3 linked regions of the Mytilus edulis genome follow. The protein of the gene in region 1 purifies or fractionates together with the protein of each later gene. This does not show direct contact. Links are inferred from orthologs where the notes say so. Each region holds a gene or a part of one and is shown on either strand. Other genes may lie near its edges.

Region 1 (7,504 bases):
GAAAATTAAGCGATCAATAAACTGCAAATTTACTATAAGTAATTATTTTAGTTTGTATGCAGACCTAAACTTTGGCAAAACCAAAAAAATAGAATATAAATGAAAATTCATTATTGGTTTTGTCAAATAGGATGAATCCAAATCTTAAGTAAAATATGTACCTGTCTTCATTTACTTTTCTACGTCCAAGAAGTGAATCGATGCCAACATGTTCAAATGGAATTTCTGGAATCAGATTTCCTCTTTTAATACTCTCGTTCATCATAATTGGCATATCTAATCTATTATTCCATGACCCCAACGTGTCAAAATTCACTCCCCTTTGTTGACCTCCTTTGTTTTCTGGGTCAGTAAGAGGAGTTCCATAGTGCCTCTTTACTGTGTGTTGCAAGTTAAGTTCTTGATGTTTTAAGAACCTGTTGTCCCTTTCACCAGAGAACTGTTTTATACTACAAATGGTTCTTGAGCACTGACAAATACTTGGGAAATATCTACAGCATGATGACAGCATTGTAGTTTTCAATATCTGATACCTTTGTTCTAGATATTATATCCCTCTTAAACTGGCACCTACATGTATAGAATTATCCCCCTTAGTAGTTAAATATTACAGTTGAACCTGCTTAAGTTTCAATCTTTTCATCCCAACTTCTGATCATGTACAATTAACATAAAGAACCTGAAAAATATAATTTTAAAAATAAAAGAACAGTAATCAATTGCACTGATGAGATACACATTTATTTACCTTGAGACAACTTTAATACAATGGAATTTTCTATATATTTATTTTGATTTTCAAACTACAATGAGCTAAGAGCCATAACTCCTGTTAAATAGTTTTTCTTCACTGATTTTTAAACACTTCAAAGACATTCCTGATCTAAAAAATAAACCTTTGTTATTGACTTTAGGTTAATATTATTTATTCTATACATGCATGGTAACATAAAGTAAATAACTTTTTCAAATATTTCATACATCTCCCTGCCATGACTGCTATAAAGTTGAGTGACTTCAAGTTCATTAACTTGTGAATTTTTTTTAACCCTTTCCTCCATAATGACGCTTTTTGATGCCACCCCCTTTACTCCATAATGATGCCTTTTGACGCCTGTGTAGTACCTCAGTTGAAACGCTTTGATTACAAAATGTCTGCATCAGACTTAAAAAAGTTTGTATCCAATATGAAAAGGATATTCATGAGAATATCTGACTTGAATTTCATTGAAGAAATATTCGTTTTTCATAATGCATTATAACTTTAAAGCTGATGATTTTTTTTTATTGAAAAAATCCTATGCGAATCAAGTATGTGAGAAAAAAAAATCCATGAAGGAAAGGGTTAACAGAGTAAATTTATGATCATGATCATGATGATCATTGAATAATAAACCTGATAAAATACCACTATAATTTTTTATTATTTTAAATAATCACTTTGCTCTTATCATATTATAAGAGCAAAGTGATTAGTTAAAATAAAGTCTTATGAGGGCACAATCATTCAAATTTAGTTATGACTACAAGCATGACAAGACAAAATATACAAATCTAAAATTGATTTCAATAATAAACATGATAAAGTTGATCAAAACATGCAGCATATTGTGTTTGTACATTTATTATTTAAGCAGTTGAGAAACATGAGAACAGAACTGCTTAAAATAAACATACATTGTGTTCTAGCGATTAAAACAAAACAGGATTTCATTTAAAATACAAACATTTCATATAATCAGGATAATAACAAAAATATATATATTAAACAAGACAATGGAGACAGCTCCAGTCAGGCTTCTGTGATTCCCTATATAAGCAACCAAATTTTTTCCCAAAAAGGGGGGGGGGGGCATGGACCCCCCTAAATCCGCCTCTGGTGGTGTGAGTGCCAATGAAACAACTCTCCATCAGAATTTATAAAAGTAATTCATTATAGGTCAATGTACAGCCTTTCCTCTACCAGGAATACAGCTGGGCATTTAGCGGTATCGGTTTGGATTCCAAGTATGTCCTCTCCGGTTTCCTGTTCGTTGTCTAGGCATTTGTGCGGCATCCGGGGTGACCTTATCCCTTATTTTGTATATAATGTTTTTTTTATATTATGTTTTTTTTATATTTTTGAGGATGAGCGAGTCAGGTGAGTGGGTGTGTTCGTATGCTTTATTACATTGTACTTATTGTTTTGGGAAGGTTAACTTTCTGGCTGTAAGACCCGTCACGGCCAGGCTGGGAGACTGGATAGGCAAATGCTCACATTAAATCTGTACCGATACAGTGTGTTAAATGTCTTCCTTTTTACACCATAACCCATGGTGGTGCTCCTACTAAAGGAGGGAGCTACGGAACATACATACATACAGCAAAAGAATATTTATTAACTATTACTAGTGCAGTGTAGATGAATAAGTAAACAGGTCATATATTTAACTGGAAAATGTAATTCGTGCAGATTGCTTAATCTACCCCTCTACTGTCATATTGGAATGAGATCTCTATCTTTGAAGGTTTCATATGTAGGCAGGTACATGTATGTCATGTATGCATTAGTGGCAAGGTTTCGGTGCAAAATATAGTTGAATGGGGTTTATCTATATAATAGAGTAGCTAAATCAGGACACAAATTCCCAAACACCCAAACGGATTGTCAGAAAACCTTTGACATGCCAGAAAATCTGGAATAAACTCAGCTTCCTCCAGATCAGGAAAGGGAACACTGTACACCGGTTCACCAAACTACCAGATTGGCTAATTTAGCTTGATTTTTCTTTTTGGAGACCCGTTTAGACCGGTTGAGGGATCCATTTGGAAGTCTGAACTGACGATGCAGCCCCTAATGTTTGATAACATTACATTAGCTTTGAAATCAGCAAACATTTTCATTTGTTACCTTTTAAACAATGTTGTCTAATCTTCTCACTGTATTGATCCAAATAAACGACAAAACATTGCGCAAAAAGACTAAATTTTGATCCTGTTTACATTTATTCAAAACACTTTTTAGACTTTGATTCGAAATATTAAAAAAATAAAAACAAAACAATCACGGAACAGATAATAAGTTTCGGAATATCAGACGGAATTAAAAGACAATAAAATCTTATCACTTGTATCTGGATACAGTATATCTAACTTTAATATATGTTCCTGCTTGTATTCAAATGTCTTTGGTTTATGACATTAAGAGAGTACTTTTTAAGTCATAATCAGCCAAAACTGAACATGCATTAGGACCGAGCAAAGATAGTTTTTTGTTTGGGGGGGGGGGGGGGGGGGGGGGGGTACAGTTTTCTATAGACTATACCACTGACAGTCACATATAACATGTAAAGTTAATGTTCAAGAGCAAATATAGCGTCTAGCCATTAGAAATGATAAATATATTCATCCAAACAGCTCGAATAAACACATGAGCTAGCCGCAGTATACACAAGCACATCTTATAAATAAGTACATAAAATACATTAAAATTCATAACTAACACAGTTGTATGCGGCGGGTGGGAGGGTAAATAATTTCAATGAAAAATTTCAAATGTACCGCGAATCCCGAAACAAAGAAATATATATGAGCGTCCTGTATCCAGGTAACAAATTGACCAATCAAAATAAGGAATACTCGGAACAATTTCTTCCGAGTAAATGTAAACAGTGATTCACGTGGTAATTATCCATTTTTATAAAATCAAAAATTACACAACCAGTATATATATATATATGTATGAATTAAGAAAAACAAAACATTTCTATTACATTTTTAGATCATATTTTCTTTTTCACATTCGATACTATTCGGTTATATGATATCTGTTTCACCATCTATAAAAGCAATGTAAAAAGGGAAATTATTAGCCGTGTATGAAAATCAGATTAACAAGCTTACGCTGTTTGACGGAGAGACAAATAGATTTGACAGATATCTGATGTTTTCATAACTGTAGTTTTCATTGCATTTGAAAAGAAACACAATATATGATTAAAATTTAGAATGGAAATGGGAAATATGTCAAAAGACAACAACCCGACCAAACAGCACACATTAAGTTGTCTACTTCATGAGGCACATAGAGTAAAACATGAAAGCAATATATCTTATCAACAATTTCCGTTACTTCTATATGAAACGCAGATGTTATATTTCAAATCTACTCCCACTATATTAGATCACTGCAAACAAACATATACTGACCACCACATAGCCAAGGATAAATTTCAAACCATTCAAAGTGTTCTTGTGTGCGAGTAAACTTTCGATCAGTTTATTTGAATACAAATATGAAATTAAGGCTATATATATTAGTGATACAGAAATGTATGTCAAGTTTCAAATTCATGACTCCTTTCACCGAAAAAAACACGGACTTCGAATATGTAAAATAGGCAATATACAAATTTGGATATACATTTCACAATTCTTTTTGTATTGTGCAATACGATTAGTTGCACTCTACGTGAAAGTGGTGTCCCAGTTGGCCTGCTTTTATTTCAATTATAAGACATTGGTCTTTAAAAATCACAGTCTATATTGTAGTAGTTTAAGTCGGAATTACTATAGAATGATGTACTGAATAGTAAGTGAATAAGTTCACGATAGAATAATAATCTTTCGACTAGGTATATTGCCGAACACTTAAATTGACTCGAGTTCGTTTTTGTGTCGTTGAATTGCTGTCAAATAGACACATACCCTAGATGTGTTTTAAAAGAAGATATGGTATGCATGTCAATGCAACAACTCTACACAAGAGACCAAGTGACACAGAAAGTAACACCTATAGGTCAACCTACGGCCTTCAATAATAAACAAAGATTATATCTCACAGTCAGCTACAATTAAGAGAAGGCTAACGCCGCTACAAGACAGCACTCGCAACCTCAAAGTGGAAAGGGATTAATATAAATTACAAAACTTGTTTCCCAATCCACTATAAATGAATATGTTTAAAATTAAAAGGCCTATAAATGAAAAATATCAAACGATCCTAAACGAGAAAAGTAACTGCCTAAATTGTGTACAAAATAATAAACTAAACAAATATATAGCACAGTAACAAACGACAACCACCAAATTACAGGCTCCTTGGTGACCTGGGTCAGCCACATACAGAATGTGGCGGGTTTAAAGATGTTAGCATAAACCCAACCACCGCTTAACCTGGAACAATGGTGTTACAGTATACAATAAAAAAAAAACACACTATAAAATCAAGTTTAACAATGCTGTAATTCCGCATCAGGTTCAAACAAGTAGAAATACATCTAACAAATAAAATTGAGAATGGAAATGGGGAATGTGTCAAAGAGACAACAACCCGACCAAATAAAAAACAACAGCAGAAGGTCACCAACAGGTCTTCAACGTAGCGAGAAACTCCCACAGTATTCAATCATAATTATGCTGGGCAACATTGATAATTTCAAACTATAGATTTTATTTCTCCCCTTCTAATTATAAAGTTATAATATTGAAAAGGAAATTAAAGGAAATTAATGTTTATATTATGGTATTAATGAATGGGTGTTTTTATAATGGCCCTGTTATATGTCCAAGGTCTGTAATAATGGTCGAGGAAGTCTGTAATGGCCCGAGGCAAAGCCAAGGGCTATTACAAACATCCGAGGCCATTATTACTGACCGAGGACATATAACAGGGCCATTATAAAAACACCCATTTATTAATACATTTATTAACCAACTGAACAAAAGTGTATGTGTTGCTGCTAACTTGATGTACCGTCTTACTCTTTTAATGACAGTTTAGTTTGAACAAAATAATTTGTACTTCACCATTATAAAGCTTTAAATATACCAAATATCCAAGATATTAAGTTGAAAGAGATATGTGTTAAAAAACCGGATGAACAGTGATCCTCTTATATGGTTCTTTAATGTTGGTTGCTGGTTACTAAATTAAATAAAATACAAAAAGGTATTATACTCTTTACAACTTAGTTTTATTAACTTTATCCAAAAACCCAAACAGGGCTTAATACAGACAAACTGGGCATTAATACAGGGCCATTACAGAAAAACAGGGCCATTACAGAAAATATGTAATTTTTAATAAACAGTCACTTTTGGCAGTAATGCACTTAGTTGGTTAATAATACTTTATAATAATCCCTCGTTCATATACTATTTCATTGATGAAATGAGAAAATATGAGCTTTTAAAGACCCATTTACTCAGTTTTCTTTGAAAATAGGGAGGTGGGAGATACCAAGAAAATAAACTGACAACTCCATGACTAAACTAGAGACTCTAAAGAGCCTATGTCGCTCACCTTGGTCTATGTGCATACTTGTATTAAACAAAGGATTCCGATGGATTCATGACAAAATGGTGTTTTGATGATAGTGATGTGTTTGTAGATCTTACTTTACTGAACATTCTTGTAACTTACAATTTTCTCTATCTATAATAAACTTTGCCCTTTAGTTACAGAGGAAAATATTTTGTAAAACAATTGACTTGATAAACAATTTAACCCCTCGTCAGATTTGCTCTAAATGCGTAGGTTTCAGAGTTATAAGCCAAAATCTACATTTTACCCCTATGTTCTATTTTTAGCCATGGCGACCATCTTGGTTGGTTGGCCGGGTCAACAAACACATTTTTTAACTAGACACTCCAATGATGATTGTTGCCAAGTTTGGTTAAATTTGGCCCAGTAGTTTCAGAGGAGAAGATTTTTGTAAAAGATTACAAAATATTACAAAAATTGGTAAAAAATTACTTTAAAGGGCAATAACTCCTTAAGGGGTTAACTGACCATTTTGGTCATTTGACTTATTTGTAGATTTTACTTTGCTGAACATCATTGCTGTTTACAGTTTATCTCTATCTATAATAGTAGTTAAGTTAATAACCAAAAACGGCAAAATTTCATTAAAATTACCAAACCAGGGGCAGCAACCCAACAACGGGCTGTCCAATTCATCTGAAAATTATAGGGCAGATAAATCTTCACTTGATGAACAATTTTATTGCGTTAGATTTGCTCTAAATGCTTTAGTTTCAGAGGAGAAGATTTTGTAAAAGTTAACGACGACGGACGCCGGACGCAAAGTGACGAGAAAAGCTCATTTGGCCCTTCGGGCCAGGTTAGCTAAAAAGACAATGACCAACAGACAGAAGAGAGAACACATCATAGTAGGTAAAGACCGAGAAACATGAACTCCACCGAAAACGGGGGTTGATCTCAGATGCTCCTGAAGGGCATACGTTCAACGATGCTCACCGAAACTTAAATAAACAATACTTGCTGAAAATGGTATGTCTTGAGTTTAATTCTGGTAAACAAAATACTAATTATACCATTGCTTGTGAATTTAAGCTATGCCGCTTTAAACCTTAGTATGAGCAACAATACGCACCAAAGTTGACGTAAATCCTGTTTCAATCAAAGTCAAATAACATTTAAGAGAATCACATGAAATCATAACGGAACGGCTGGCTAACTTTCATATCTTATTGGAATTAAGATATTTTTTTATGTATTGGA
Region 2 (7,945 bases), on another chromosome or scaffold:
GGCCTTCAAATATATTTAAATGCTGTTTATTGGTTGTTTATACTTTTACAAACTTATAGCCATACACCTTATCTGATTTGTCCGCCATTAGAAGATATCACACAGGTTCCTGTAAAATTTTGACGTCATAAAACAAAATATCTGACGTCACAATGGAAAAGTGATTACATGTATATTGTATGCCTGAAAAGGTCAAGCGACCGGGATTTTAAATTTTTAAACTTTTTAATTTTAAAACTTATCCGGAATGGAATAAATAGCGATTAGGTGTATTGTTCATTTTATTGTTTTGTTTAAAATTGTAGGTATGGCAAACCAATGGGAGATAACTCCAAATTACCCTAAATAATTGTTCCCAGATGTGTGTAAATATAAAATCTTTGGGCGACCTCCGATTACAGCCTTCTATTAACTTGTTAAGTCTCAGAAGGTTCTGATTGCTTTTGATAGATATTATATGAATATACATGATTTAGTATATTATAATTTTCGGGAATACATGAAATATTTGAGGTACAAACAAGGGTTTGAAAGTTACATTCGTTTAAAAAAAATACAAGGGAACTTTATACAGCCATAAAATGTATTTTTTTATTAAGTTTAATATATCAATTAAATAATTGGGTCCAATAAATATATCTAGATAGCTGTGTTCATATCAAAATTATTTTTTATAAATAAGCCTCCTTTTTGTGTATACAGAGTTATTTCCCTTGCATGGACAACTTTTGGTTTAGTTTTGATTGGAAATCAGCGGTGATAGGTTGTTTTTTTTTGCATTATACAGCCAGTTTATTGCAATTTAAAGATAGTTCAACCACTTGTCATTGCACATGAGATAGTAAGGATACTGAATAATGTGGTTTAAAACAATCAATATATGTATTTTCAACATGTTCAACTAAAAACATACATAGGAATCCATGCAGTAGTGGCAGTTCACTTCGAATGCTATTCACATTCAATGCATTTTGAACTTCAGTCCTGAATGAGATTGGTTTACAGATTTCACTGTATTAATATTGTAACTGATATACAGATATGAATTTACTTTACTTTTATACATACATGTACAAGTATTTACAGTGATCTGACATAATTATTTTGTTTGAAATTTCTCGAATAAAAAATAATGTTATATTATTTTCATTGTTTTTCAGTGCAACAGGTATTTTAGTCCTGTAGAATAATTGTTAAAAGCTTGTTGTTTATTTTTATTCATAAGCATTTACTATACATGCTATATATAAGAATAAGAATATTTCATTAAATTGAATGTTAATGAAAAGGGAACATTCTAAAACTATCATGACTATACAAAGACAGATGACAATCATGACATATTTCAAAACAATTCTTGTCTCTCATGGTACAACTGATTTTTATAGTTCGTTCTTATGTTGTACTGTGACAGGTCAGGGGAAGGATTGGGCATGCGCTAACATGTTGAACCCCACCACATTCTGTATGTATGTGCCTGTCCAAAGTCAGGAGCCTGTAATTCAGTGGTTGTCGTTTGTTGATGTGTTAAATATTTGTTTTTCGTTCATTTTTTGGACATTAATTAAGCCGTTAGTTTTCTCGTTTGAATTGTTTTACATTTGTCATTTCGGAGCCTTTTATAGCTGACTTTGCAGTATGGGCTTTGCTCATTGTTGAAGGCCGTACGGTGACCTATAGTTATTAATTTCTGTGTCATTTGGTCTCTTGTGGAGAGTTGTCTCATTGGCAATCATACCACATCTTCTTTTTTATACACACACACAATTAAACATATACATTTGTATATATAAAGAGTAATATTCATATTTATATTTTGTTTCTTTACATTCAAATGTTTATAAGTTTTACTTTACATTTTCAATATACCAACTGATGCTCTGAAAAAAGGAATATATAAAGTTATCGTCATGTTATGTGACTTTGAACGATAGAATTTCATGAGAGTGGTTGACATTTTCATGCTTTATGCTTTTATTTTAACCAAAAAACTTAATATGGAGGATTAAAATTGACTAACAAGATGTAAAAGAAGCAATATAAACAAAACTATAACCCAAATGATTAAAAAAAAATATATTTTATTATTTTTTAAAGAGAGGAAACAGTTTTTCCAGAATAGTAAAAAATTTCCATTTTGAAAATTTGCTATTTCTCCGTTGTTATTATGTGTATTGATAAAAGTGTTTTGAAAATGTCTTCACAATGCCTTTAAAATGAGGTTAAGTTTTCTTAGATCAGTTGATTTTAAAAAAATCACTTTCCGTACCTAAAAATTGTGGACAAAATTGCTCTTTCAAAATTTCCATTTTGGAGCCTCCATGGGGGAAATACCCCACAAATAATGTCAGTTGGCAGGTATGCGAACTATCAACATGACACTATTAATTATTCACACTTTCACAGGGTGCGATCGTAAAAGTGAATTTGGGCGAACGGACCCGGATTCCTGTGTAAATGCACTGCATGACGACTAATGTACAGAATAGAATAGAATAGAATATTTTTATTTACCAAATTAGGGCCCCAGGAGGGCATATGATACAGACAATATTTTTATAAACAATAACATATGCAATACACACACAGTAAAGATATGTAACAAGTGTTATAAAAATAATAAAATAAAATAATATAACTCAGAAAATACACTCAACAAAATAGTAGCAATGTATTATTATTCAATGAATACTATGTTGAAAATGACTCAAGTGCACCCGGTAAGTGTATCTTCACTTTGAGAAGACAAACATGAGGCATTAGTAGATCTTAGTAGTTTGTGCGGAGAAATGTCAATATATAAAAAAAAAATACAAAAAAAAAAATACAAAAATACAAAATTATACAAAAAGAACCCAATAAAAAACAAAGTAACACGAACCACATTTTGGCATTTGGAAGACGTTGACAGTTGCTTAGCTTGAAAGCCTATTATCTGTGTTATTCTGGGAGACAGAAGACGTCTAAGCAAAGCCATTTCGTTTTCTTCTATAAAATATTTTGTCCTTCAAAGCAACTACATAGTAAACAATTGTTTAATGGAAAACTCTAGAGAACGTCGAAAAGGGATTACTAGTTTCAGACAAACGGCGTAATCTGTTATTTTAAAAATCTTAATCATTGAAATATGATCTGTGTTGAATATATAGAATGGACGTCACTCCGACCTTATGCAAATCAGAGACATATAATACAATTAATCAATCTCAATAGATATTTTAAATTTGAATTTGAATTTTATTTCGTACCTTATCTTATCTTATCGTATTTGAATGTTCCAAAATCAATATAAAAGTTTTAACGTAACGGTACCCAAATTGCACCGAGTACCCAAATTGCACCTATTAAGCCAAAATAGTAAAAATAATCTAACAAGATTTCCTAGAGACCGTAAACAATTTGTATTTTTATGATCTGATACTATGCACATCTTTCAACATAGGTAAAACTATTTAGATATGCACAAAACGTTCACAGTATTTATCAACAGGTGAAGTGTTTACTAAAAAACTAAAAATTTGTACTGAAACGTCGCCATGCGACGTCATCAAAACGTCATCTTTTTAAAATGATCAAATACAATATGTTACAAGTATCCATTTGAAAAAAAAATAAAGAGTAAGCATGGACTAATATCCAATTGTTCAAAATATTTGAAGAAATTAAACAAAAGCTCTGTTATTAGAATTTTGACAGTGCGAATTTAAGCATGGATGCAATTTGGGTACTCCTCATTTCAGAATCATTGATGGTTTGGAGGTCAGTTTAGACCAATTTTTCTTTGATTCCATATGGATTAAAAATGAAATTGATGTACTTCTATAATAAAGAAGGATACGGTTACAAAATAAACACAGAATGGAAATTTTTGTCTTTATCATAAAAAAACGTAGGTGAAAAAACTGTCAAAATAGGTGCAATTTGGGTACCGTCACGTTATACATATTATGAAACTAATGTAGATCACTGTAAGGCACTTAATATTCAAAGCTTTATTTATAGTCGGCATGTTACATAACAAATAAACATAAGCTCTCTGAGCTTTTATAACCGACAAATGCATACATTTACATAACAAACATACACAATACAAATATTAAAACATAAAAGACATAGAACATACATTTCATGCACATTTAGGCTACACTATTTAAATACTATATTCTATACATGCATAAGAATAAGCACTAAAAGCAAACATAAAAAATAAAGCACAGCATTCATAAATTATAAAAAGCTAAGCAAACATTCACAAAAAGCAGCACTATTATTTTCAAGCTGTAACATAAAATAAATAAAACTAAGCACATGCATTGCAATGGCATGAGTTGCCATTCCATGAGTTTATTAGACTCTTGAATTGGGTAAAAGATGTTTCAGTTCTAAAGTGGTTTGGCAACTCATTCCATAGTTTGGCAGCAGAATATCTGAAAGATTTCAAGCCATACCTTGTTGTTCTTACGTCAGGTATTTCAGCTAAATTTTGGTATCTGAAAGAATATTTTGTTTTTTTAATCTTTATAAGATCATGGAGGTACATTGGGTTTTCATGATTGACTGTTCTAAAGACCTCTATTGCCATGGTTCTTAGGCGTCTTACTTTAAGTGATGGCATTTTTGATTTTAAAAGTAAGTCTTCATATGTGCTATTGTGATCCTGGTAAATGAAGCGAAGTGCTCTTTCTTGTACTTTTTCAATTTTTGTAGTGTTGGCCTCGCTGCAGAAATGCCAGGACAATGAGCAGAAATTAAAGTTTGACATAATAAAGGAGTGATATATTGTTAGTTTTCCAAGTTTGTTTAAGTATTTGCCAAGTCTTTTTAAAACATTTAGTTGTCTGGATGCTTTTTTGCAGATGTTTGATATATGCGTGTTGAAATTTAGTTCAAAGTCAATGGTGATGCCTAATAGTTTGACCTCTTTTTCACATTTTATTTTGTTACCTGCTAGATCAAATGTAATGTTTTTGCCCATTGTTGTTTTGCCAATTGCCAAAGCTTGAAATTTTTCAGGGTTTGCCTTCATTTGATTGGAAGAAAACCATTCTATCAGAGCCAAACTGTCTTTTTCAAGTATGGAGATAACGGTGTTTATATCTCTATTTGCATAAGATAATGTGTTGTCATCAGCATAATTGTAAAATGAACTGTTTGTGGTGAAGTGAAATATGTCATTAATGAAGATGTTAAACAGTATAGGACCTAGAATAGAACCTTGTGGTACTCCTTTATATATGTTTTGCCAATTGCTCAGACTAGAGCCAACTCGAACACATTGTTTCCTGTTAGATAAGTAATTTTTAATGAGTTTTAATGAGGAAGTCGAAAGACCATATGCCTCAAGCTTAAGCAGTAGAAGATCGTGAGGGAGACAATCGAAAGCCTTAGATAGATCCATTAGAATTGAGCCAATAAACTTATTTTGATCAAGTGCCGTTTTCCAGTCTTCGATGATTCTGAGTAGAGTAGCTATATTCGCTGATTATGTATGCTTCTCGTTTGTATTCAGTCTCTAAAATCATCTCATCATAGGATTCTGACTCGGCATATTTTAAAGTCAAAGCCAGAGTCTTACAAGACAATATATCTAATATGAAGTAACCTGCAAGGATTTGCTTCGAAAAATTAATTTACTGTCAAATTTAATTATTCACATGTCTTGGAAAACGGCAAATTACTTTTTCCATAAAAAGCATGATCATAGAAAAATGGTCTTTGAAATGATGACAAATAGTTAAATCATCGAAAATACGTTAAGAACTTATCAAAAATTGAAACGGTAAAGAATGAAACTTCAAAAATATATTTTATGGAATATACCCGTACAATCTCCTTCCCTTTTCACGAATGTGACTAACCGAATTAGACTATTTACCGGATTTGTAATAACATGTGCAACGCGACAGGTGTCACATTTGGACTGCATGATCTGCTTGTATCTGCCTACCCTTCCGTAGTACCTGAGATCACTACCAGGTTTTTGGTGGGGTTCATGTTGCTTAGGCTTTATTTTTCTATGTTGTGTCTTGTCTGTTTGTCTTTTTCTTTTTTATTCATGCCGTTGTCAGTTTGTTTTCGATCTATGAGTTTGACTGTCCCTTTGGTATTTTTCGACCATCCTTTTAAACAGTCCCTGGTCATAATAAGGAAGCTCAAGTTGTACCTATTCACAAAAAAATACGGTAGAAAAAGGTTTTTATAGACCGGTAAAACTTATGTGTTACCGGCCATTTCTACTCTTTTTTTTTTTATGTCACTGAAGTACAATAAGTACGACAGTACTTTGATAATATTTTCAATCTATTTTTTGCAGCTTTTATATCAAGCATTTGATGTCGGTCAATTTTATTAAGAGTGATTGAAGAATGGAAATTAGCCCTATACCAAAATAAATACCTTGCAGCTATCCTGGTGGATTGTGAAAAGCTTTTGACTGCCTCCCTTATGACTGACTACAAATGAAACTAAAATAGTATGGTCTTTAAAAAAAAACTCACTTGATATGTTGTATGGTAATTTCACAACAACAAAAAATCAGTGGGTGAAAGAAAATCAAAATTTTAAGTGGTATGCATGACATATTTAAGGTGGTATGGGATAATGAATTAAAGATGATAGAATGTGTTCATACTTTGCCAAGGCGAAGTATATATTGTGATTCAAAAATATAATCCAAATGATAGGTCACCGAGTTTTTTCTCAAGCTACAGATTGTGAATAAATGACAACATGATTGTGTGCGGATTATACAGGAACAACCATCAGTTTGTGACTAGAAGATAAACTAAATGAAAGAATTGCAGAATATAATACGAGAAGATAGATTTTAGAAAATTATTTCAGAATTTCAAAACAAAGATGGTGTCACCGTACATTTTTTTCCTGAAGTTAATATTAAATAGTAAATTTTTATTAAGAATTGTTCTTTATATGATTATTCTGAGGCCAATACTTTGTCAAAGTCAGTCGGGAAATTCCGTACAAGATGTCATTTATGTTCTTGAGGAAGACGGCAATAATTTAATATTGTGGTTTTCTTCAAACAAAATGCAGGCTACCCAGAGAAATCTCAAGCTATCTCTCTTGTAAAAAACATGGTTTACTTTTATAAATTGTTACTTGGATGGAGAGTTGTCTCATTGGCACTCATACCACATCTTCCTATACCTATCTACATAATAAAAAAAATGTGTTTGGTTTGAACAGTATTTCTATATCGTGTGAGGATGAGGTAAAACTACTTGGACTTACATTTTTTCCCAATTGTTCATGATGTCAAATTTTGACTATGCATTTTTGTGTGGAACAAAATACAAGAACCGGCATAGACGAAAATACTAGAACGAGCTCTTCGTTATATTTATCAAGACCACGGGAACTCGTACGAAACACTCTAACTTGCAGATTTCAAACCTCAGTTACATCACTAAAAGCTCGTAGCCTAAATGCGCTCATTTGAATTCGGGATAACTTTGATATTACAATTAAAAACTGTTCTTTATCCATTCAAGAACTAGTTGTTATAAAACACAACATATATAATATCAAGTATGGGAACACTGCTGGGGTACCTAGACCAAGAACATCAAGTTATGGTATAAGATCTTTTAGTTTTTTAGCAACACAAGTGAAAAAATTCCCTTCCAAATGATATGATATCTTTTGACAACTTTAGGACTTATAAAAATTCCTGGTGTGTGGATCTAGAATGCATCTGCAGTGTGTCTCGTTTCCATCCACTGCTGTCTCATAGCCAATTTTTTTTTTTTTTCTGGCCGTTTGCTCTGCTTTTTATAATGCATTATTATACAGAGATGCTATTAAATGCCAGTGATAATTAAATAAATTTGTCTTATACTTTTTAGTTCGTTAGTATTTTATGATATTTTAGTGATTTGCTGGTTCACTCATTCAATGCACATAGAGGTGTTTGCCGCATGAGAAT
Region 3 (8,270 bases), on another chromosome or scaffold:
AAAATCATCTAAATCAAAAGGCAGCTAGTTGTCATAAATCTCAAACCTGAAAAGATTGACATGCCTGAACAGATCCATGGATGAACAATCCTTATATCCCAATATTTAACTTTGTAGTTGAATAAAAACTAAACACATATCATAGATATAAAGTTCCACTATTTGATAAGTTTGATAACATACCATTCTTTCAGCTGAACTTCCCTTATGCCTTCACCTATATCAGCAAGTTTAAACTGTACTAACTCATGACAAACTGTAAAATATAAATAATTAGAAGCTGTAATGACATTGATAAGCAGAAGTTTCTTGAAATACTATTCTCGGCTCATTAATTGGGTTGTTGTCTCTTTGACATGCTCCCTGTTTTCATTCTCAATTTTAGACAAAAGCAGCAATTGCCAGTTGTCAAATGAAGAGGCCAAGTAATTTGAATGTGTTCATTTGGTAATAATAATAAATAAATAAGAGAAGACTTTAGAAAATATTTAATTTCTTCTAAAGAACAAAAAAAAAAGATGTTATTATTTTTCATAAGGTAACTTAGGTTAAGGAACTTATTTCAATGTATGGTATGTCCATGTACATTTTGTACCTACCTGGAGACGAATGAAAAGTCCTACAGCATACTAGCGGACTGTGACAAATATACTGATTTGTTTTTCTTTGACAAATTGTCCTTGTATGATGTTGATTGCAATTGTTCTTTCTTTTAGATAACTGCAAAATAATGTAAAGAAATTTTTCAGTGCATACATTTATATTAATCAGTTTTTTTCTGAACTGTTCCTTATAACAATGTACAATAACCATGATTACTACCTGTACCACAGTACATGTACCGACATACATGTGATGGACTGTGAAACTCAGATCAGGAGATTTGGAAATTTTGGTCAGGAGATTAGGACTCAGATCAGGAGGTTTTTTATCGACATAAATTTTGTCGTAAATGTAACTGTATGATGTAGAAATTGTGTTTTTTCTTCAAATTTCCATCAAATTGTAATATGTTTATAGTACCTTTATTGCCTTTCTATTTGAATGAAAATAAAATATTAAGAAGAATTTGTTTTGTTTTTGATAATTGATTGTTCACTGCTTGCAAATAAATCATTATATTTTAATTTATTTATCTTATCTGTATAGATTTATATTTCCATCTCCTCATCATTGGTAACTGTATAGACAAATAAGAAAGAAATATGCTATACACTAACAATAGTACTGCATGGTTTTTTTAAAAGCATTATGAAAGTCATATAATTTCTAGAAAACTTTGACTCAAACCAAGGATTTGTATAGTAAGACATTATACTACAGTCTATGCAAAAGTCCACGAGATTCCAATCCTTCTTATTATACAAATCCTTGCTCAAACAGTGTAAGTTTTTTTTTTTATCTTTAGCTAATTCATTAAATTTTATATATAATGACATAAACAATTCTGATCCCAAGGTTCTAATAGGCATAAAACTAACTAGGATTTTTAATCAGCCTTTTTTTTTAAGTCCCAACACATTTAAATTCATTTAAATACCATCCTTTTATGAGTATTTGATTAAAATATCATTCATTTATAGTCTTTTTACATTTTACGTTTTTAAAAGCAAAATAACTTAAAACAGGATAATTCAAAGGGAAGTAATAAAAATGTATTTCAATTATTTCGAATACACAAAGTTTTTATTAAACAACGGCAGTTAGCAGAGGTAAACATCGTTGATTACCAGTAGGTTTGACACCCAAGCTGTCAAGTGAAGCCATATAATTATACATCTTCTTTGATTTACAGGTAAAATTTAACACAGGTGTCAATTGCACCCGTACGGTAGTAAGAATTTATCAAATACGGCGGATGAAAATTTTCATTCATGAAATATTTCATACACGGGAGTTTTTTCTCCTAAACGGGAGGACGGGAGGAGACCACTGAAAACGGGATTATTGTACTCCCGTCGGGAGGTTCACATGTATGTGTACAATAACCATGATTACTACCTGTACCACAGTACATGTACATGTATATCTTTTTATCATTTGTTTTTGTCTAAGAAAATTCTCAATGCTAAAGTTGTTATAGTCTTAGGACACCTACGGGTGCGGGAGTTTCTTGCTACATTGAAGAACCATTGGTGGCCTACGGAAGTCTTCTCTATGGTCAGGTTGTTGTCGCTTTGATACATTCCCCATTTCCTTTCTCAATTTTATTACTAAATTCTGTCTTTAAGAGAAACTCTGCTGTGATACAGATCGTCGACAGTGTTCTAGCCAAGATTTGAAAAGGGCAGGGTGCTAGTCAGAAAAAGGGCAATTTTGCGCATGAATGTCATTGAAAAAAAGGCAATTTACGCGTAAATTTATATCATTTGTTCATGAAACAATTACGATTTTACCGATATTTTAAAGGCAGAAAATGCCAATTTTCTGTGATAAAAACGGAAGGGCGCCAGAGGAACGACAGAAAAAAGGCATTGCGTCAATAAAAAAGGGCATGCGCTGCGCCCTGTTCAAACTCTGTAGTTAGAACACTGGTCGAGTTTGGCATATTTATACACCTTTATTGCTAGTATTTCAAACTCCTGTGAACAGACCAAGGCCGAAACCTCTTGTTACCTCAAGCATAATTTCCAGTGTTTAGTTCAAGCTTTAATTTCACTAAAAACTAGGGGGAGTGTAGCAATCAGTCTGTAATTATTTAGAAAATCTACGAACTATTATTTTGGATAAACTAGATTCCCTTCTTAAAAAAAAGAAGTGAATGAAGCACACACGAAACACAAACTGAATTTACATGGATCCTGGATCGAATAACCGTCTTTTAAAGTGTGTGTATTTAGTCATTGCAATAATAACAACATATTATTTTACAATATTTAACATCTACCGATAATTTTGATTGACTGCAATTGTTTTTAGGGATTGATAAATTCGTACATTATTAAGAAACCTAAACTTTTCCCATTTCAACCTTCGCAAGGCCGTCGATGCCATCTTAAACTGGTTCTTTAGATGTTTGCAAACAGACAGAAGGATGCCATCGGCAGGAACCCAGGTTGAGATAAAACTAAAATTTTTATCGATCCCGATAACAGTATCTGCAAATCCTTTTCCTTTAGATTCTAAAAAATCTATACATGATTATTGCTGCCCCCGAGCAATATTGATTATCTTCTTTTTTTAATAGGTAATATATTTCAACTTCAATTGCTGTCTAATCGTAGAATTTACACGGATTAAGATAAACTACTATTCTGTGTGTTGAAATAGTGTTTTGTGATTGGTTGACTGGGACACACACCCCAACTTTTTCCCATTAAAAATAATTCAATTTATTTATTAATTTTCTTTATTTAATGGGCTCTTGCAAATACGAAACAACTTTTTGGACTTAACCAACTCACGTCCTTGATATTGGCTATCAGATTCATTTCCCATTAGGGAACAACCATTTAACTAAAAATAAAAGGGGGGAGTGGGTTACATTTGTTCTTCTTAGTCAGATTTTTCTTCTTGCGCAAAGTATAAACAATTTTATTTAGTTTTCAACGCAATCAATCAGATTTTTTTTCTTTCAAAATGTTATACTATGAAGTATGGGGGTTTCTGATTTGCATTCAGAATACTGAATTCATGTTCAAATGTGTTGTCATCTGCATGCTTCACCACATTATTTTTTCCCGTCAAAGTGGGGCTCGGAATATTTAGAGAAATTGAAAAACGCAAACATAACACTTGCCCTCCACCACCTGGACGTCGAATTGTTGATTCCTTAGATGTACTGCTCCCCAAAACAACACACGTAGTTTATATTTGTCTTTCCTTCACCCAATAAAATCAGAGACATAGTTTGTATCTCAATGCCGTCATGATGAGATTGTTCTGGCAATTTTAATTTGATTACAAGAAGGAATTGAATTTTTAAAGGGGTATTTCTAATATAGATCAAGGTTTTTGATTCAGTGTTATGTCTTTATTTTTTATGCTGAGATGTGTGTACTTTTGTTTGTCTTTTGATTTCGTCCTTTCTTTTTTTGTCATGGTATTGTTATTTGCTTTTGACTTGTGAATTTAAATATCCCTTCCTATAGCTTTCCTTTAGCAATAAATTTGTATCCGATATCGCGTAATATTTTTTCAGTTTTTGAGTGTAAAATTCTCCAATTATTTGATCATATATGATTTTGGAAAAAAGAGTCGGGCTTTAAAAAATATTTTTATAAATTTCCGTGTGTGTATATGATCTGCATACGAAGCCACATATGAAGCCTGGGTTGGTAATTGATAATCGTAAACAGCAAATTAAAGTCAACACTGTTCTGAGTGGTTGTGCTAATATCCATAAAGGCGTGTCACAGGGTTCTTTACTAGGGCTATTGTTGTTTAACATATTTATAAATTATATTTTTCTTTTTGTTAAAAATGGTAGTTTACATCACTATGCAGATGGTAATCTGTACTCCAGATTCTGATTTATTAATTTCAACTTTGGAATCTGAGTCAAAATACTTATTGAGTGGTTCCGGGTAATTAAAATGCAAGCAAATCCCGACAAGTTTCAAGTTTTGGCTGTTGGCAAAAAGACCTTTGACCTTTGACCATCTATACATATTCAAATTTCGAACCTTACATACATGTGAAAAACAGTAAAATTATTAGGCATTGAAATTGACCATCAGTTAAATTTTGATGTTCATGTCAGCTCAATCTGTAGAAGGGCATCAAGGCAATTAAATGTTTTTAAACGTTAAGGCTTAGTTTTGGTTAGACTTAGTAAACTTATTATTTTTCATACTTTTATTCTAAGTAATTTGATTTTTTCCCTTTGGTATGGCATTTTTACACTGAGAGAAATTCCAAAAAACTAGAAAAGGTGCAGGAAAGAGCACTTCGTTTCGTATATGAGGATTTTACCAGCTCCTATGAGGTCTTCTAACTTACTGAGGCTAAGGTGCCCTCCGTGCAGATCAGACGGATAAGAACAATGGCTCTAGAAACTTTTAAGATTATAAACAATATGGCTCCTGTGTGCTTACACAATTTGGTGAGTGTCAAAGAAATTTAAAAGTATTCTTTTCTCGCTGCATTGAATACCCATTGGTGACGACGGCTGTTGTCTGCATAGCAGACAGATATGATCGGGTTGTTGTCTCTTTGACACATTTCCATTCTCAATTTTATTTCAGGTATGTAAATATTCTGGAAATTCCGTAGGTAAAGCCAACCCGTTACGGTAAAAAAAAACTTTCAAATTTGCTGCTGCTACTTTATGGAACAGCCTTCCAAACCATTTCAGGACTGAAAATAGTTTTTTTCACATTTTTAAATAGATATAGGAAGATGTGGTGTGAGTGCCAACGAGATAACTCTCAATTGTCCCTTGTTTTGTATAGTGTTGTACGGTGAATAGTAACTGATTACATCCTTGTCCCTTGTTTTTCATTGTGTTGTACGATGAATTGTAGTTGATTACATCTTTGTCCCTTGTTTTGTATAGTGTTGTACGTGAATAGTAGTTGATGACATCATTGTCCCTTGTTTTGTATAGTGTTGTACGGTGAATTGTAGTTGATGACATCATTGTCCCTTGTTTTGTACAGTGTTGTACGGTGAATTCACGGTAGTTGATGACATCATTGTCCCTTGTTTTGCATAGTGTTGTACGGTGAATTGTATAGTTAATGACATCATTGTCCCTTGTTCTGTATAGTGTTTTACGGTGAATTGTAGTTGATTACATCCTTGTCCCTTGTTTTTCATTGTGTTGTACAGTGAATTGTAGTTGATTACATCCTTGTCTCTTGTTTTTCATTGTGTTGTAAGGTGAATTGAAGTTGATGGCATCCGTGTCCATTGTATATATCATTGTGCTGTACAGTGAATTGTAGTTGATGGCATCAATTTCACTTGTTTTTCATTGTGTGGTGCGGTGAATTGCACTTTATACATCCTTGTCCCTTGATCTTTTAATCGATAGTTGTCCAATTTGCAAACATATCTAGAGAGACCTTTAGACACAGCATAAGAAACAATTTGAAAAAAAAAACCAGAAGGAAATCTTTTCCATATAGAACCAAAGAGCTTAGTACCATCCCCTCCCCATCGAGGTTATTGATTTTCTAAATATATTTACTTTAAAAAATTAAAAAAGATCCCCGAACTTCACCATGACAACAACAATGTTCCAAATACAATTTTTGGTTCGTTCTATTTCTTATAAGTCATTGAACCTTCTCCTCCGTCTGCATTCTTGTAAAGGTTTAAAAGTACAAGAGCCAAACTATAATTACTTTTTATTGCACATACAAAACTTAAATATCAGCTTGCACCTGCTCTCTCTGTTATACACATTCCGTACATAAATAAATTTCTTAAAATATAACTGTATAAAAAACACCATTTATATGTATATGAATAAAAATGTCTGGATTACACGTATATGTGTTGTTGTAAACAATATTTCATGATGAATAATCATAAACAAGTATAATTATAAACACATTCACAATAAGGATTCACTGAGACACAAGCAACTCGTGATTATACTAATCCGTCAAGCAACAAAGTGCTTATTTTGATCCGTCTTCTAATCCGTGTATGTATTCCCTGAGAATCGTTTTAAAAACACTAAATTACAAAACAATCCTAGTCCTTTTTTACATCAAACAGGATCCATCCCAACAGATCGTCTTAACTGTTCAAATATAAAGAATGATATAACAGTATGAGGACCAATTCTCATCCAGTTCGGTATAAACCCTTTATAAAGTCCTAAAAATCCTTCTGTTTTGACAATCTTCATCAAACAATCAAACGTCCCCTTATAAACCTTCTCGTGGTGATCTGAAAAACATAACAAATACCTAAAATTCCACATTGACCACACAACTTTCTTTTTAATATAGATAATGTGTGGAATACCCATTTTATTTTGTTACTTATTTATTTATTTGTGATATCACAATGATCATGTTATCCATAGTCCGAGATTACTCTTACGTCCAATGGCTGTTTTGACAGACAGGCTGGGGCAGCTTGTCTGGCAAAACAGCCGTTGTACGTTAGTGTAATCTCGGAGCTTGTCTGGCAAAACAGCCGTTGGAAGTCAGAGTAATCTCACACTGTTTGTTATCTCGGACTGTTTGTTTGGCAAAACAGCCGATGGACGTCAGAGTAATCTCGGACTAGCTATCAAATGATTACGCGGAAACGGGAATAATCATAAAATGTATAACTTGCTTTGCCATGTTTGTGCAGTGCTTACTGTTCTTTTCTTATTGTAATGCATCAGAATCGGAATAACAGTACTGTAGTTGAAGAGTTGCCACCGTCAATTTTGACTTGACGGTCGCAAATCTCCGTTTTCACTGTCTCCGCTACGCGTCGCCAGTAAAACTGCATTCGCGACCGTCAAATCTGCAATTGACAGTGGCAACTCTTCAACTACAGTACTGTTATTCCTTAATTTTAGGTTTTATTGCATGAATATTTTTCTATGCTGTTGCATATGTTTGTATGTATCCAGTTAAATTCTCTCTAGAGCTTACTAACAACACCGAATCTAAATAAAGTTTTTGCATTCAGTGTTAAACATCCATGTTCGGTAAATCAATTTTGAAACAAAAGAAATCATTAAGTTTTTAAGGAATACTTTAACACATTGTGCAATATTTATAATTGTTTGTGACAATAAACTAAACATCATCACAACATATATATATATATATAGATATAAAGAATAAATAACCGACAAACATAAAGAAAAAATGCCTTATGGACATGTAACTCTTATATTTGGAACAACGGAAGTATGTATACATACTATATTACAAGTACCCCGGTACGTAAATTTATACTTTAATGCCATGTAATGAAGTGTCATGGGAATTATAAAATATACTATAGATAATCAAACAACTCGGAAAGTAAATAGTGCTTCTTACGTTCATATTTCTGGTTCATGATTCTGGTTTTGACGACATCTACTGGCGAGGTTGTAAGTGCAGCCATGAAACCAGCTACCATAGATGATATAATATGTAATAGTGGCCCTTCGTCCATCCATTTCAAGTTTAGTATCGTGTGTTTAGTATGGTCATAGCTTGGGATCTATATATGGAGAGAGAGAAAAAAACATGAAAAGCAGTGAACTAGCAGTTGGTAGTAGCATAACTCTGTTTTGAGTGTCTTTTCTCCCACTAATATATCCTGCATTTGTTTATTTCTTGTAAGAATTTTACACGAGACATTAAAACTTCATGATTTTATCA

The links. Proteins that work in one complex are often made in the same cells at the same time.
Region 2: the proteins of protein phosphatase 1K, mitochondrial-like (region 1) and 2-oxoisovalerate dehydrogenase subunit alpha, mitochondrial-like purify together in Homo sapiens (affinity purification with mass spectrometry; 4 studies listed by BioGRID and IntAct, counting the BioPlex papers as one, with this or other methods). This does not show direct contact. The link is inferred for Mytilus edulis from reciprocal best matches to the Homo sapiens genes PPM1K and BCKDHA.
Region 3: the proteins of protein phosphatase 1K, mitochondrial-like (region 1) and lipoamide acyltransferase component of branched-chain alpha-keto acid dehydrogenase complex, mitochondrial-like purify together in Homo sapiens (affinity purification with mass spectrometry; 4 studies listed by BioGRID and IntAct, counting the BioPlex papers as one, with this or other methods). This does not show direct contact. The link is inferred for Mytilus edulis from reciprocal best matches to the Homo sapiens genes PPM1K and DBT.

The regions. Positions count from the first base shown.
Region 1 is NC_092357.1:7,377,293-7,384,796, reverse strand, and holds the start of protein phosphatase 1K, mitochondrial-like, read right to left. Parts: upstream 3,041-7,504; 5' UTR 2,891-3,040; intron 680-2,890; 5' UTR 512-679; coding exon 162-511; intron 1-161. UniProt on the Homo sapiens protein: Serine/threonine-protein phosphatase component of macronutrients metabolism.
Region 2 is NC_092346.1:74,984,804-74,992,748, forward strand, and holds the start of 2-oxoisovalerate dehydrogenase subunit alpha, mitochondrial-like, read right to left. Parts: upstream 3,067-7,945; 5' UTR 2,978-3,066; coding exon 2,882-2,977; intron 145-2,881; exon of another isoform or gene 89-144; coding exon of another isoform or gene 68-88; intron 1-67. UniProt on the Homo sapiens protein: Together with BCKDHB forms the heterotetrameric E1 subunit of the mitochondrial branched-chain alpha-ketoacid dehydrogenase (BCKD) complex.
Region 3 is NC_092344.1:17,374,972-17,383,241, forward strand, and holds the start of lipoamide acyltransferase component of branched-chain alpha-keto acid dehydrogenase complex, mitochondrial-like, read right to left. Parts: upstream 3,067-8,270; 5' UTR 2,995-3,066; coding exon 2,938-2,994; intron 721-2,937; coding exon 600-720; intron 257-599; coding exon 184-256; intron 1-183. Other genes in the region: mitochondrial substrate carrier family protein ucpB-like, read right to left, coding at 6,662-6,843, 7,944-8,109. UniProt on the Homo sapiens protein: The branched-chain alpha-keto dehydrogenase complex catalyzes the overall conversion of alpha-keto acids to acyl-CoA and CO(2).